3 linked regions of the Saccharomyces cerevisiae S288C genome follow. The protein of the gene in region 3 interacts with the protein of the main gene of each other region in a biochemical or structural test. Each region holds a gene or a part of one and is shown on either strand. Other genes may lie near its edges. The genes, in order: TDA3, GGA2 and ENT3.

Evidence for each region.
Region 1: the proteins of ENT3 (region 3) and TDA3 form a complex in vitro, tested with the Saccharomyces cerevisiae proteins (one study listed by BioGRID).
Region 2: the proteins of ENT3 (region 3) and GGA2 form a complex in vitro, tested with the Saccharomyces cerevisiae proteins (2 studies listed by BioGRID).

Annotation. Positions count from the first base shown.
Region 1 is NC_001140.6:123,599-127,519, reverse strand, and holds TDA3 (Tda3p), read left to right. Parts: upstream 1-1,839; coding exon 1,840-3,411; downstream 3,412-3,921. Other genes in the region: 60S ribosomal protein eL27 RPL27A, read right to left, coding at 28-407, 969-999. UniProt on the Saccharomyces cerevisiae protein: Putative oxidoreductase that negatively regulates the retrieval of cargo from late endosomes to the Golgi. Regulates YIF1 and KEX2 localization. Required for fast DNA replication.
Region 2 is NC_001140.6:326,631-330,568, reverse strand, and holds GGA2 (phosphatidylinositol 4-phosphate-binding protein), read right to left. Parts: upstream 2,267-3,938; coding exon 509-2,266; downstream 1-508. Other genes in the region: CTM1 (cytochrome c lysine N-methyltransferase), read right to left, coding at 1-259; septin CDC12, read left to right, coding at 2,533-3,756. UniProt on the Saccharomyces cerevisiae protein: May play a role in the regulation of membrane traffic through the trans-Golgi network.
Region 3 is NC_001142.9:654,115-657,813, forward strand, and holds ENT3 (Ent3p), read right to left. Parts: upstream 1,850-3,699; coding exon 623-1,849; downstream 1-622. Other genes in the region: YJR124C (uncharacterized protein), read right to left, coding at 1-124; VPS70 (putative zinc metalloprotease), read right to left, coding at 2,140-3,699. UniProt on the Saccharomyces cerevisiae protein: Involved in the recruitment of clathrin to the Golgi network and endosomes to form clathrin coated vesicles. Plays a role in the trafficking of clathrin between the Golgi network and endosomes.

The sequences.
Region 1 (3,921 bases), on a different chromosome or scaffold from region 3:
TTTTTGGTTGACCATAATGCAATTCTCTTAAAATCTCAACTTAGAGAAGAACCATTGGTTCTTACCAGCTTGGTGTCTTTCTTCGAAAGCCTTCTTGACGACTTTCTTAGCTTCTTCACGTTGGGAAGGTTGTTCGAAAGTTTCAGTAGAAACAACGGATTTGAAAGCTTCAACATCTAAAGTGTATCTGGTTGGCAATAAATGGTTGTAGTTGACGACCTTGATGAAAGGCTTGATCTTGGTTCTCTTAGCAACCTTCTTGGCACCGTGCTTCTTGGTGACCTTCAATGGGTATCTTTCAATACCGGCAACCAAAGCGTGACCAAATGGGTGAGACTTGGAACCTTCATCATGTGGTTTAACGATAACAACCTTCTTACCGGCGTAACGACCACGGACAACGACAGCTGTGTAAAAAAAGGAAGGAAAAGAAATAGTTAGTAAATGTGAACCCTTCTTAAAGTTTGGCGAATTCTCAATTTTGTTCTTCAATACTAGGGAGAGAAAAATTATCATAGGCCCACGAATTTTTAATAGGGCATGGAAAGAACTACAGTAAATAAAAGGCCCTGGTCGCCTGCGTACATGTGCCTATGGTCTTAGCAAATATATCGCGGAACTTTCACCATCTTATTTGGTGGCTATTGATGCTTTTTTCTTTTAAATTACAACTTTTTGATAACCCTTCCACTGCCTCGTATAGCTCAATGAATATGAATAATCGTTAGTTTCGCTCCTAAATCATTCATCTTTTTGTCCAATATTTCTATTAATAAGCTATCATTCAAATTTAAAGGTTTTTTCCCAGATCTAACATCTCCACGCTTTTTCCTCCCTACTCCCATATGAAGATACAATACTCGAATTCAAACTCAAATTATACAACATCAACTGCTAATAACTTGGATTTCTAATACCACAGTTGCACGGTTTTTTGTTGATGTCCAAAAACTGAAAATGATACGTACCAACTTTACCAGCTTTCAAGAACTTAGCCATTTTTTTCTTTGGTTATGCTTTTGTTTTAACACGTTGAGACTATCTAAGAAATTCTAAAAATCTAATATATCTTTAATTTTAGCTCAAAACTACGGCAGTATGTTTTACATGAACGAACACTTTACTAGTGAAAAGAATTTCAGGAAACCTGCCTTCGGGCGAATCTCTGCAGCAAGAGCGTAGGCGGAGCTCTGCTGGAAAGACTTTGTCTCAGACAGTTCTGTCGTGATGGGAGAACTGAGCGGATCACTCCCATTAGTTTGAGAGGAACTTCTCTCCGCAGCCTTGATTCTGCCTCGGGACTCCACCTGGAATATTGTTATCGGCTCTTTCAAGAAATACAGGACTCATAAGGTGAAAAAAAAAAAAACAGTGTAGGTGCAACAGCAAAAAATGTAAAGATGTAGGTGTACGGATGCATTAACGTCTTTCGAGGCCCTTTCCATTCTTCCGTGAAAAATATTCACTGAACGTATAATATGAGACGGTTCCGTCCGAGTCCCCTTAGCTGGAATCGTGTAAGCCAATTTATCAATACATGCAGCCTTGGTGCTTTTGTGCGTCTATCCCCTACATGCATAAGATTACGTATGAATGAAAAAAGCACGACATAGAAGTGAAACCATATCTGTAACCTGGCACACGTACTACAAAAGTTATATTGTTCCTTTTTTTTTTTTTTTTTTTTCTATTGTTAAATCAAGACTTAAAAAAAATCAGCCAACAAGTAATTCTGTTTGATAGTTCAAGTCACTCAGCAAAAGATTTTCGTGCTCTCCAATACACCATCTAAGTATCAATAGCATTTTAACCAAGCAACAGAAGGAATAGTGTTTATAAATGGGTGAAGATTTTATGCACCCACCGTTTCAAACGTACCCTTCAAAGAACAGCGAAGGGAAAAAACATATTGTCATTGTAGGTGGCGGTATCATCGGTTGCTGTACTGCTTACTACTTGACCCAGCATCCAAGTTTCAGCCCTTCGACGCATCATATTACCATCATTGAATCGAGGCGCATTGCTGGAGGGGCTTCTGGTAAAGCAGGTGGCTTGCTTGCATCTTGGGCTTTCCCTCACCAAATCGTACCTTTAAGTTTCCAGCTACATCAGGAGTTGAGTGATGAATATGATGGAGAAAACAACTGGGACTACAGAAGATTGACGACTGTGTCCTTAGAAGCAGATGTTCGCGAAGAAGTCATTGAAAACTACGAAAGACTGAGCAAGAAGGCATATAATCTGAATGTCCCTCCTCCAAAGAAGAGACCGGGCTACATATCCAACAAGTTTAACATCGGGGACTCTAATTCATCTTTGAGTTCTTCGGGCTCTTCTTTGAAAAACGACTCCGCTAGTAACGAGGAAGAAGGATCAGACATTCATGTTTCTAGCTCAGTACCCAGTTTACACTCTCTAACAAATGAGCGCATGAGAAGCCACACAAATAGCGCATCTGATCTTGACTCTGTAAGTCCCGTGGAGCAACTGAGAGAGACTAATATCCATAATCCTTTGCCTGCTGATTTAGATTGGATAAGAAGAGAATTGGTTAATGATTGGTCATCACTAGGTGGTACTGATACCACAGCGCAGCTTCATCCCTATAAATTCACCCATTTCATCTTATCGAAGGCAATGGAAACAGGTGCTGTCGATCTTCTCCTAGGTAAGGTAGTTGGGCTAAAGTGTGACGAGATGGATTGTGTTCATTCTCTTAAGTACCTTCCATCTGTCGTCAAGAATCGCAGAAATAGCAGAGGGCATGCAGAAAATCCAGACATTAAGCTGGGTACAATCTTCAACGATGAGAACGCGAAGCCCATTGAAATCAATGACATCCAGCAGATTGTTTTGAGTATGGGACCCTGGACTTCCAAGATTCTAAAAGATTGTCCAATTTCTGGATTGAGAGCCCACTCTGTCACCATTAAGCCTAGTGAAAAGACAGTTTCACCTTACGCTATTCTTGCTGAACTAAAAGTTAACGACCGTGAATTTTTCTCCCCTGAAATGTATGCTAGAAAAGATGAAGTTTATGTGTGCGGCGAAGGCGACACTTTAGTCAATATACCTGAAAGTTCGGACGATGTGGAGGTAGTTTCGGAGAAGTGTGATGAATTGTACCATTACGTATCCAAATTATCGCCAACTCTATCAAAGGGCCATCTCTTGCGGAAACAAGCCTGTTTTTTGCCAGTTTTAAACGTTCCTACAAGTTCTGGTCCCTTAATTGGTGAGACAAATGTCAAGGATCTTTATATTGCAAGTGGACATTCTTGTTGGGGTATTAACAATGCGCCAGCAACAGGTAAATTAATGGCTGAGATTCTCCTTGATGGCGAAGCAACCTCTGCGGAAATCTCAAGTTTGGATCCAAAGTTATATTTCGACGCCACCATCCTTTCTTAATCAAGCCGAGGAGTAAAAAGGTCAAGAAAAGTATATGCACAAATTTGTACATATAAGAGCTTATTTATTTATATATTTAAAATTTCTGAGGCCATTTAATGTGTATATATTTAACGAATACCTAAATCTATATATTTCTTTTTTTTTTTTCTCTCTCTCTCTCTCTTTCTCTTTCTCTCTTGGCGTCTATCCTGTTTGCCCTTGCGCATGCTACCGATTGCACGTGTAGTATTCTACTTGAGGTTGAGCTGATTACTAATTGCTATTATCATTGTTGGCGCGACCTTAAACCTGGACCAATAACACAGGCCGAACCACTAGCTTCGCAAAAAAAAAAGTAGGGATGTGCCGAAAAATTTCCGCGACCGTAGCAGACACCCCTGATGAAGAAGCTATAACTTGTATATAAGAGCGTTGCATCCCCAAAATATACAAGCTAGCTACAGCGATTGCTTTTCACTTGCTGCTACAGGAACGAAACCCCAATTGATAACTATACCTCCTAAAAAC
Region 2 (3,938 bases), on a different chromosome or scaffold from region 3:
TTTGAAATTCTTCCTTTGAAGAAAATTCGTCCTCATCTCCCAAGAGAGCCAGAAGTGTGTTTATATTAAACGTGCAGCGCTTAGGGATTCGGAGCAATTGGATAGTTTCACTTTTCAATTCATCATTCTTGAACTTCGAAGGTTCTACGAAAAGGCCATATCCACTTTTGGGGTCATCAATGGTGGATGGTTTTAATGAAAGGCTTTTATGAATGAAGATATTTCTAGAGTTCGAGTAAAAACGGAACACTTCCTCCATTTCAACTTTCCTTTTGGTTAACTTCGATTTTTCAGTGGTTATGAGGATGGCGAATTATACTATTTCTCTTTTTTTTCCTTTACACGATCTAGCATTGCTAACTACTTTTGATGCATGAAAACGCAACATATATTAGTAAGTGAAATATGTATTGTTGCGAAGATCTTTATAAGATTGTCTACATAGAGGTATTATCCTTCTAAAAATATACATAGAGAAGAGAAAGGATTGATAAGAAACGCCAGAGGATTATACATTAGGTAACGTAAAAACAGCAGTTTCTTCAGCTTGGGTGGAGTTGACAGAATAGTTGACCTTCCACTTGACTTTCAAAGCCTTTGAAGGGTTAGCTGGCGCATTTTCAATTGTACCTTCTTGAGAGATACCATCTTTAGCGTTGCCAATCATAAAGTTACTCGATTGGGGTTGCAATTTCAAAGACATTGACTTAGGGACTGCTAATAAGAACACTAAGTTGGAGATCGGTGACGAACTTAAGTTTGTAAAGAACGATTTTATCCTTATAACTGAGTTTGACTCCCTAGATATTTCGAACTCAATCTTCAAGTTAGGAGACTGATTGACTAGGGTTCTTGCGGGCGCAGTAGTAGTACCTGTTGTTGGATTAAATCCCATCAAAAGATCGAACCCACTACTGTTTACTGCTTGGGAATTAGTTGGCGATTGAGGAGTTGAAAGTCCCAAAAGATCTAAAGTGTTGTTCGAGTTGTTAGTAGTAGTAACTGGTGGTGCGGGTTGAGAGGACCCCAACACGATATCGCCTCCCAGACCAAAGGATGCTTGGTTAGCGGTTGAAGGGTTCGAAATAGATAAATCGGTCAAATCGCCCAATAAGTCATTGACAGATGTTTCCGCTGCTGCTGGTGTACCCGTGCCGTTGGTATTGTTGTTGCCTTGAGAGGGCGCTTCGTCCAAATCATTGAAATCGATTAAGTTGATTTCATTCGTTAAAGCACCAGAAGATTGTTGTAACGGAGCAGAAACATGACTTGGATGTATCTGCGAAGCAGCGTTGGAGTCACCGTTTTTCAATAAGTTGAATTTTTCCAATAGTTGATTAACTGTATCATTAAACTTCAATAGATCCTGCACTAACGCATCGTCTTCCTGTTCTTCCTCAATGATCTTTTGAAATTTTGGTTGAGCTACCTTTAATGCACTGTGAAGTTCTTGTGTAGTTTCGTTATCCCAGTTTTGTGAGTCAGGTGATTCCAGCATTTCATTCAGCAAATCGGCTTTACGCTTCAATTTGTTCAATTCACTGGAAATAGCCTGTTTAGCTTGAACGGCATTGTCTTCTTTGAACCCTGCCATGATTTTCATTAATTTGTTAGCTTCCCTCAAATCTTCAGGTTTACCACGCCTGATCAATTCTTCGAGTTTTGCAGCTTGAGCAATTTCCTGCTCCTTTTGAATTTCACTAGCGGTCTTCAATTGATTACTAGGCTTCAAAACTGCTAGGTCGGATTCACTGATTTTGGGGAATGCATAACCCTTATATTTCAACAAACGGTGCATGTCTCTAATATAACCCATATCATTCTTGTAGCTTGAGTGTTTACAAATTGTTTGATACCATTCTTCAATAGCAGTTAAAATCAATCTCTGAATCTTAGAATAACGTAATGGTGGGTGACCTGGAAATCTCTTGACCAGTTCATTCAAAAATTCCTTTCTAGAAATTTGCAAGTGGAATGGGTATCCACAATTCTTGACAAGCACGTCTAATAGAGATAACGCGAATATTGCCACGTGCGATTCTCTATTGTTGATCAGTTTAGCAAGTGCAATGGCAGCATCCCTAGGGGCAGCGCCCTGTTTTTCATTAATGTAGTCAGCAATGTCAAGATTCAACGCCAAGTCTGGTTCAGCAAGTGACATTCTGCAAGCTCTTTGAATCTTCCTCAAAAGAGGATTGCCCAAGGCTTGAGGTTTCCTGACGGGCAACTCAGACAAATATATGCTATGTGAGTGCGGATGGGACATGATGCAGTATCACGATTAGCAATTCAGCTATGAGTTATGTTGCTCTTTGTTTTGTTTATGGAAATTGTCCTATGGTAAGTCTCTTTTTTTTGCAATCGTGATTACAGAAAAAAAACAGGGCGCTGGAAAAGTGAAGAATCCGAAATTTTTTTCGAAATCACCATTGTTTGTTTTGAGTAGATCAAAGTCTTGAAAGGTGCAGCAAGATATAGGATCTTGACCTGAAGAGTATTGATAACGAACTACATCACATATTGTATCAAATAATGAGTGCTGCCACTGCGACTGCTGCCCCTGTTCCTCCTCCTGTAGGGATATCCAATCTTCCCAACCAGCGTTATAAAATTGTTAATGAAGAAGGTGGTACATTCACCGTGATGTTATGTGGTGAGAGCGGATTGGGTAAAACTACATTTATTAATACCTTATTTCAGACTGTCTTGAAAAGGGCAGATGGTCAGCAACACCGCCAAGAACCCATCAGAAAGACTGTAGAAATCGACATCACAAGAGCTTTGCTGGAAGAGAAGCATTTCGAATTACGCGTTAATGTCATCGACACCCCAGGTTTTGGAGATAACGTGAATAACAACAAAGCCTGGCAACCATTGGTGGATTTTATTGATGATCAACACGATTCTTATATGCGTCAAGAGCAGCAACCGTACCGTACTAAGAAATTTGACTTGAGAGTTCATGCCGTTCTGTACTTCATCAGGCCCACTGGACATGGTTTAAAGCCAATTGACATTGAGACTATGAAGAGATTGTCAACCAGAGCCAATCTGATTCCAGTTATTGCGAAAGCTGATACATTGACTGCCCAAGAATTACAACAGTTCAAGTCCAGAATCAGGCAAGTAATAGAAGCTCAAGAAATTCGTATTTTCACGCCTCCATTAGACGCTGATTCTAAGGAAGATGCCAAAAGTGGCAGTAATCCAGATTCTGCCGCTGTTGAACATGCAAGACAGTTGATAGAAGCAATGCCATTTGCCATAGTAGGGTCTGAAAAAAAATTTGACAATGGGCAAGGCACTCAGGTAGTTGCAAGGAAGTATCCTTGGGGACTTGTGGAAATCGAAAACGATTCTCATTGTGATTTCCGTAAGCTCAGAGCCCTGTTACTGAGGACTTATCTATTAGATTTGATTTCTACCACCCAAGAAATGCATTACGAAACATACAGAAGATTAAGACTTGAGGGTCACGAGAACACCGGGGAGGGGAATGAAGATTTCACTCTTCCAGCAATTGCACCAGCAAGGAAATTGTCACACAATCCTAGATACAAAGAAGAAGAAAATGCATTGAAGAAGTATTTCACTGACCAAGTCAAAGCTGAGGAGCAAAGATTTAGACAATGGGAGCAAAACATTGTTAACGAAAGAATCAGACTGAACGGTGACTTGGAAGAAATTCAAGGAAAGGTAAAAAAACTAGAAGAGCAGGTCAAAAGCTTGCAAGTAAAAAAATCCCATTTAAAATGATGATTAATTAATGTCTTCCTCTTTGTCTCGTCAATTTCAACGCCTATCTCTTTGTCTCTTCTTTTGTCGCAGCAATACGCACATATATATATGTATCTTATAAAAATATTTCAAATATATCTCAAAAAACATAGAATACGTAACACAATCGAACAGTAAAAACAAAAATAAACCGGTTTTTT
Region 3 (3,699 bases):
TTAAAAAAAGCGTCAAAACTTGATTTGTTAAACCATATGATAGAAGTCTAAGAAAGACGGACGCCCATAGTAGCTTTATGTCTCTACTTGCACACTTGAATTTAACAAAAATTTCCGGTGCCATGGTTACGTTAACTTTAGAAATATTGGTAAATCCTTCTGCAATGAGCTTTTTCGAGATGTGAAAAATTAGTAGAGTTTTCTTTCGTGCCTTTTTTTTCGGTGCGTCAACTTTAATATATAGTTATAATTGCTCTATAATGCTAGGCAAAAATAAACGAGAAGGAAGGTGAGTTTTAGTTCATTGACTAAAAATGAGCAAAAAAAGTCAGGAGTTTTTGTTTTGAAGGGCACTTCAACTCTCGAACTATGGATTTACAGTTTCTTCCTCGTCTTTTTAAGTAAAGTATTTTCAAATGACCAAAATGTAAATAAATTTGAAAAGGGCCCTTCTTTACGAAAAAAAGATCAAAAAAATGTTCACAAACTATTTCACGAAATCAAGACAAACATATAAAGGAGAAATACAGTGGAGATTAGATAGTAATGTTCGTAATACCTGTTACAAAGTACTTTCTATTGTTATAAAACATTTACATATTGTGTAAACCAATAATATCACTCAAAAGGAAAGTAAATCGATTTCTTTGGATGATGTATGGTTATTATTGGTATTCTGTTCTTGTTGAACAGCTCCACCATGCATTTCACCAAATTCGTCATCATCATCTTGATCTGTACTTAGTGCAGTTGTGCTATTAGATACAGGATTAGAGGCAGCGGCTTTCGCTTGGGATGCTTTAGGAGCACTAGGTGCTTCTGCAGATGCCTTTGCAGTTGAAAAGAGAGAGCTAAAAGGATCTACTTTTTTAGGTTCCGCAATAGCTGGGGTAATCTTGCCTTGGTCGGTAGTGGAGCTGTTATAAAAAGGCATTGAACTCGTGGTGGCGGGCATACCCTCAATTGGGCTCGTGTTTAGCAAGTTAAACGAATTAGCAGGGTTGGTAACAGGGACGGCGCTTTGAAATTCTGAAAACTCGTCATCATCGTCCTCTTCTTCGTCCGCCTTCTTTTCATCTTCTTGTATGAGTTCTTTAGATGGTTTTGAAGACTCACTAGAAAAAAAGTCAACAAAGTCCTCTGGTTCTTGTTTTCCTTGCCCAGGAGTAGATGTGGCTCTCGAGGCATTATCGTTATATCCATTTTGACTAAAAGAACCATCTTCGTTATCTTCATTGTCACTATCGAAATCAGCACTCACGCTAATGCCGTGCACTTTCGTTGACGTGAAACCTGCCTTCGAATTCAAACTGCCATCAGCAGAGGCAGATCCTCCAGCAACGCCCTTGTACTTCTTTGCCGTTTCTCTTGCCTTTTTTCTTTCTGCGCGTATCTTATTATCGTCGCTCAATAATTCAATCAAAGCTTTGACCCTAGTTCTGACATTAATTCCTTGATCTCTTCCCTGGGAATCAATATAGTGAAAAGTTTCTAAAATCCTAATTAAGTTAATGCTATTCCTTGTATCATCGATAAACCTTTCAGAACCGTGTTTGATAAGGTAATCGAGCAATTGCAAGGCTTTATAAATTTGCCTCCACTCACTACCTGCCTTTTCAGTGAACCTTCTGAATATCATGGACAAAATTTCTTCTCTTTCCCTGAAATTGTAAGTTCCTTGAGAAATCTGGTCCATTAAAGTGGATGAGGCACCCCAAGGCTCGTTGTTTGTCGCTTCACGAACTTTCCCCTCCATCTCAGTATAATTGAAAACAACATTTTGAGCTTTACGAAAATATTTCTTGGCGTCATATAATGACATGTTGGCTAATGTATCCTCTAAACTCATTCTTCCTAACACTAATTAACGATGTGATCTCCTATCGACGTCCCTACACCTTCCTGAATTGGTAATTTTTGCTTTCCTCAAATAACTGTATCTACAAATCATTTCATGATTCTTCTAGTCCCCTTTTACTTTTCCTAATCACCTCGCACAACGTACGGTGTGACATGTATAAGAAATTGAAGCCATGTTTATAGAGTATATACAAAAAAGCCTCTCATGGTTATTATTCAAAGTCACTCTACGTATGCAAATAAAATAAATGTATATACTGAGGTGAGGTACTTAAATGCTTATTGAAGTAAATAGCGAACGTTGCTGAATTGGCTTAGCAAAATGGTTAACCACTGAATGACCTCGTTTCTATCAATATCAGCCAATCCTTCGTGAAGGCCGGGCAAAACTTCCCCGACAGATCCCTCAAACTTACTAGGTGCTAAAAGAGAGTACTTCATCCATTCCCTGTCTTTCAGTCCTCTGTGTGTAATAAATAATTGATCAATTTGCTTTGATTTGCTATTGGATCGTTGCAGTTTAATATAGCTCTTGATTTTTTTGTAAAAAGCCCAAACAGGTAAAGCTTCCCTACACTCTTTATAGAGAATACCATTTTGTTGGTCAAATTGGATGCTATCTTCCTGTGTGGCAACTTTTAATAAGTCCAGAACCCTTTTTGCTAAGCTGTTCACTTCATCGTCCTGGGGAAATGCTGAAGATAGATTAGAGTGCCATGCGATATACCAGTTATATATTTTCTTCAGGTAAACATGTGTATTGAATCTTGCCAGTTCGTTTTCACTCAGCATCAGCGTTGTCAAACCTACAAACATGGCCATGGTGTTGTGTAACTTGTAGTCAGAATTGGTAAATTTTTCCAACCAAGTTGGGCTATCGAATACGGAGTTACTATGATAGACTGCGCCTGAAGTATCATTGGCATTAAACTGAAAATGTGCAGCGGGCACTCCAAGATGGTACTGAAATGAAGTGTAACTAGACAACCCATCAAGTAGAGAAATAGTGGCATTAGAAGTGTATTTCCAATGGTCGAACAATGACCAGTCTTCGTGCCCATTAAATTCCGTGAGCTTAGCAGCTTCGTATATCACGTCTTGTAAAAGTGGGTTGGCTTTACAGTGAAAATTTGTCCCAGAGATTGCATTATCTAGATTTAGGTATACCAAGGCCCTTCTCCTGAGAATCGCAGCATGAGCTTCTGCATAATCTGTAGATCCCAGAAGGCCGGATCGTTCACCATCCCAACTTATTAGTTTGATAGGACGCAGTGGCTTCCAACCATGCTTAAGTAATTTACTCATTCCTCGTGCAATTTCTAAAAGAATAGCGCTGCCACTATTTGCATCACCGGCGCTACTCGAGGCGAGCGAATCCCTATGAGCTCCGATAATAATCTCCCCCTCAGTGAATATACCAGGGATACTAACCTCTACACTACTCATTTCCTTGATGTTGTAAGTTAGCTCATTATGCAAATGGACTTTATCGATAGAGCTTGAAGGTCCAGTGAATGATCCAAAATCTTTTATATTACTACCGGGCCCAATTTGAAAACCCCTGCCATTCAATCTTTCTAAAATTGGTTGGACATCTCTAGCACTCATCGGCACCGATGGTATCCTCGGCACTCTCCCTACCGGTGACATATGTTCAGTGTCGGAATCCTTGGAGGGATACCCTGGAGTTGTCGGATCTCCTGGAGTGTCACTGAAATAGTTTACAGAATCTCTCCTAATATAACTTGGGTTTCTTGCTGGTCCATAAGGATAGTGTAAAAACCCATTTTCCTCAGTAACTTTACCATCGTCAAATGGGTCTGTATATATAATGACACT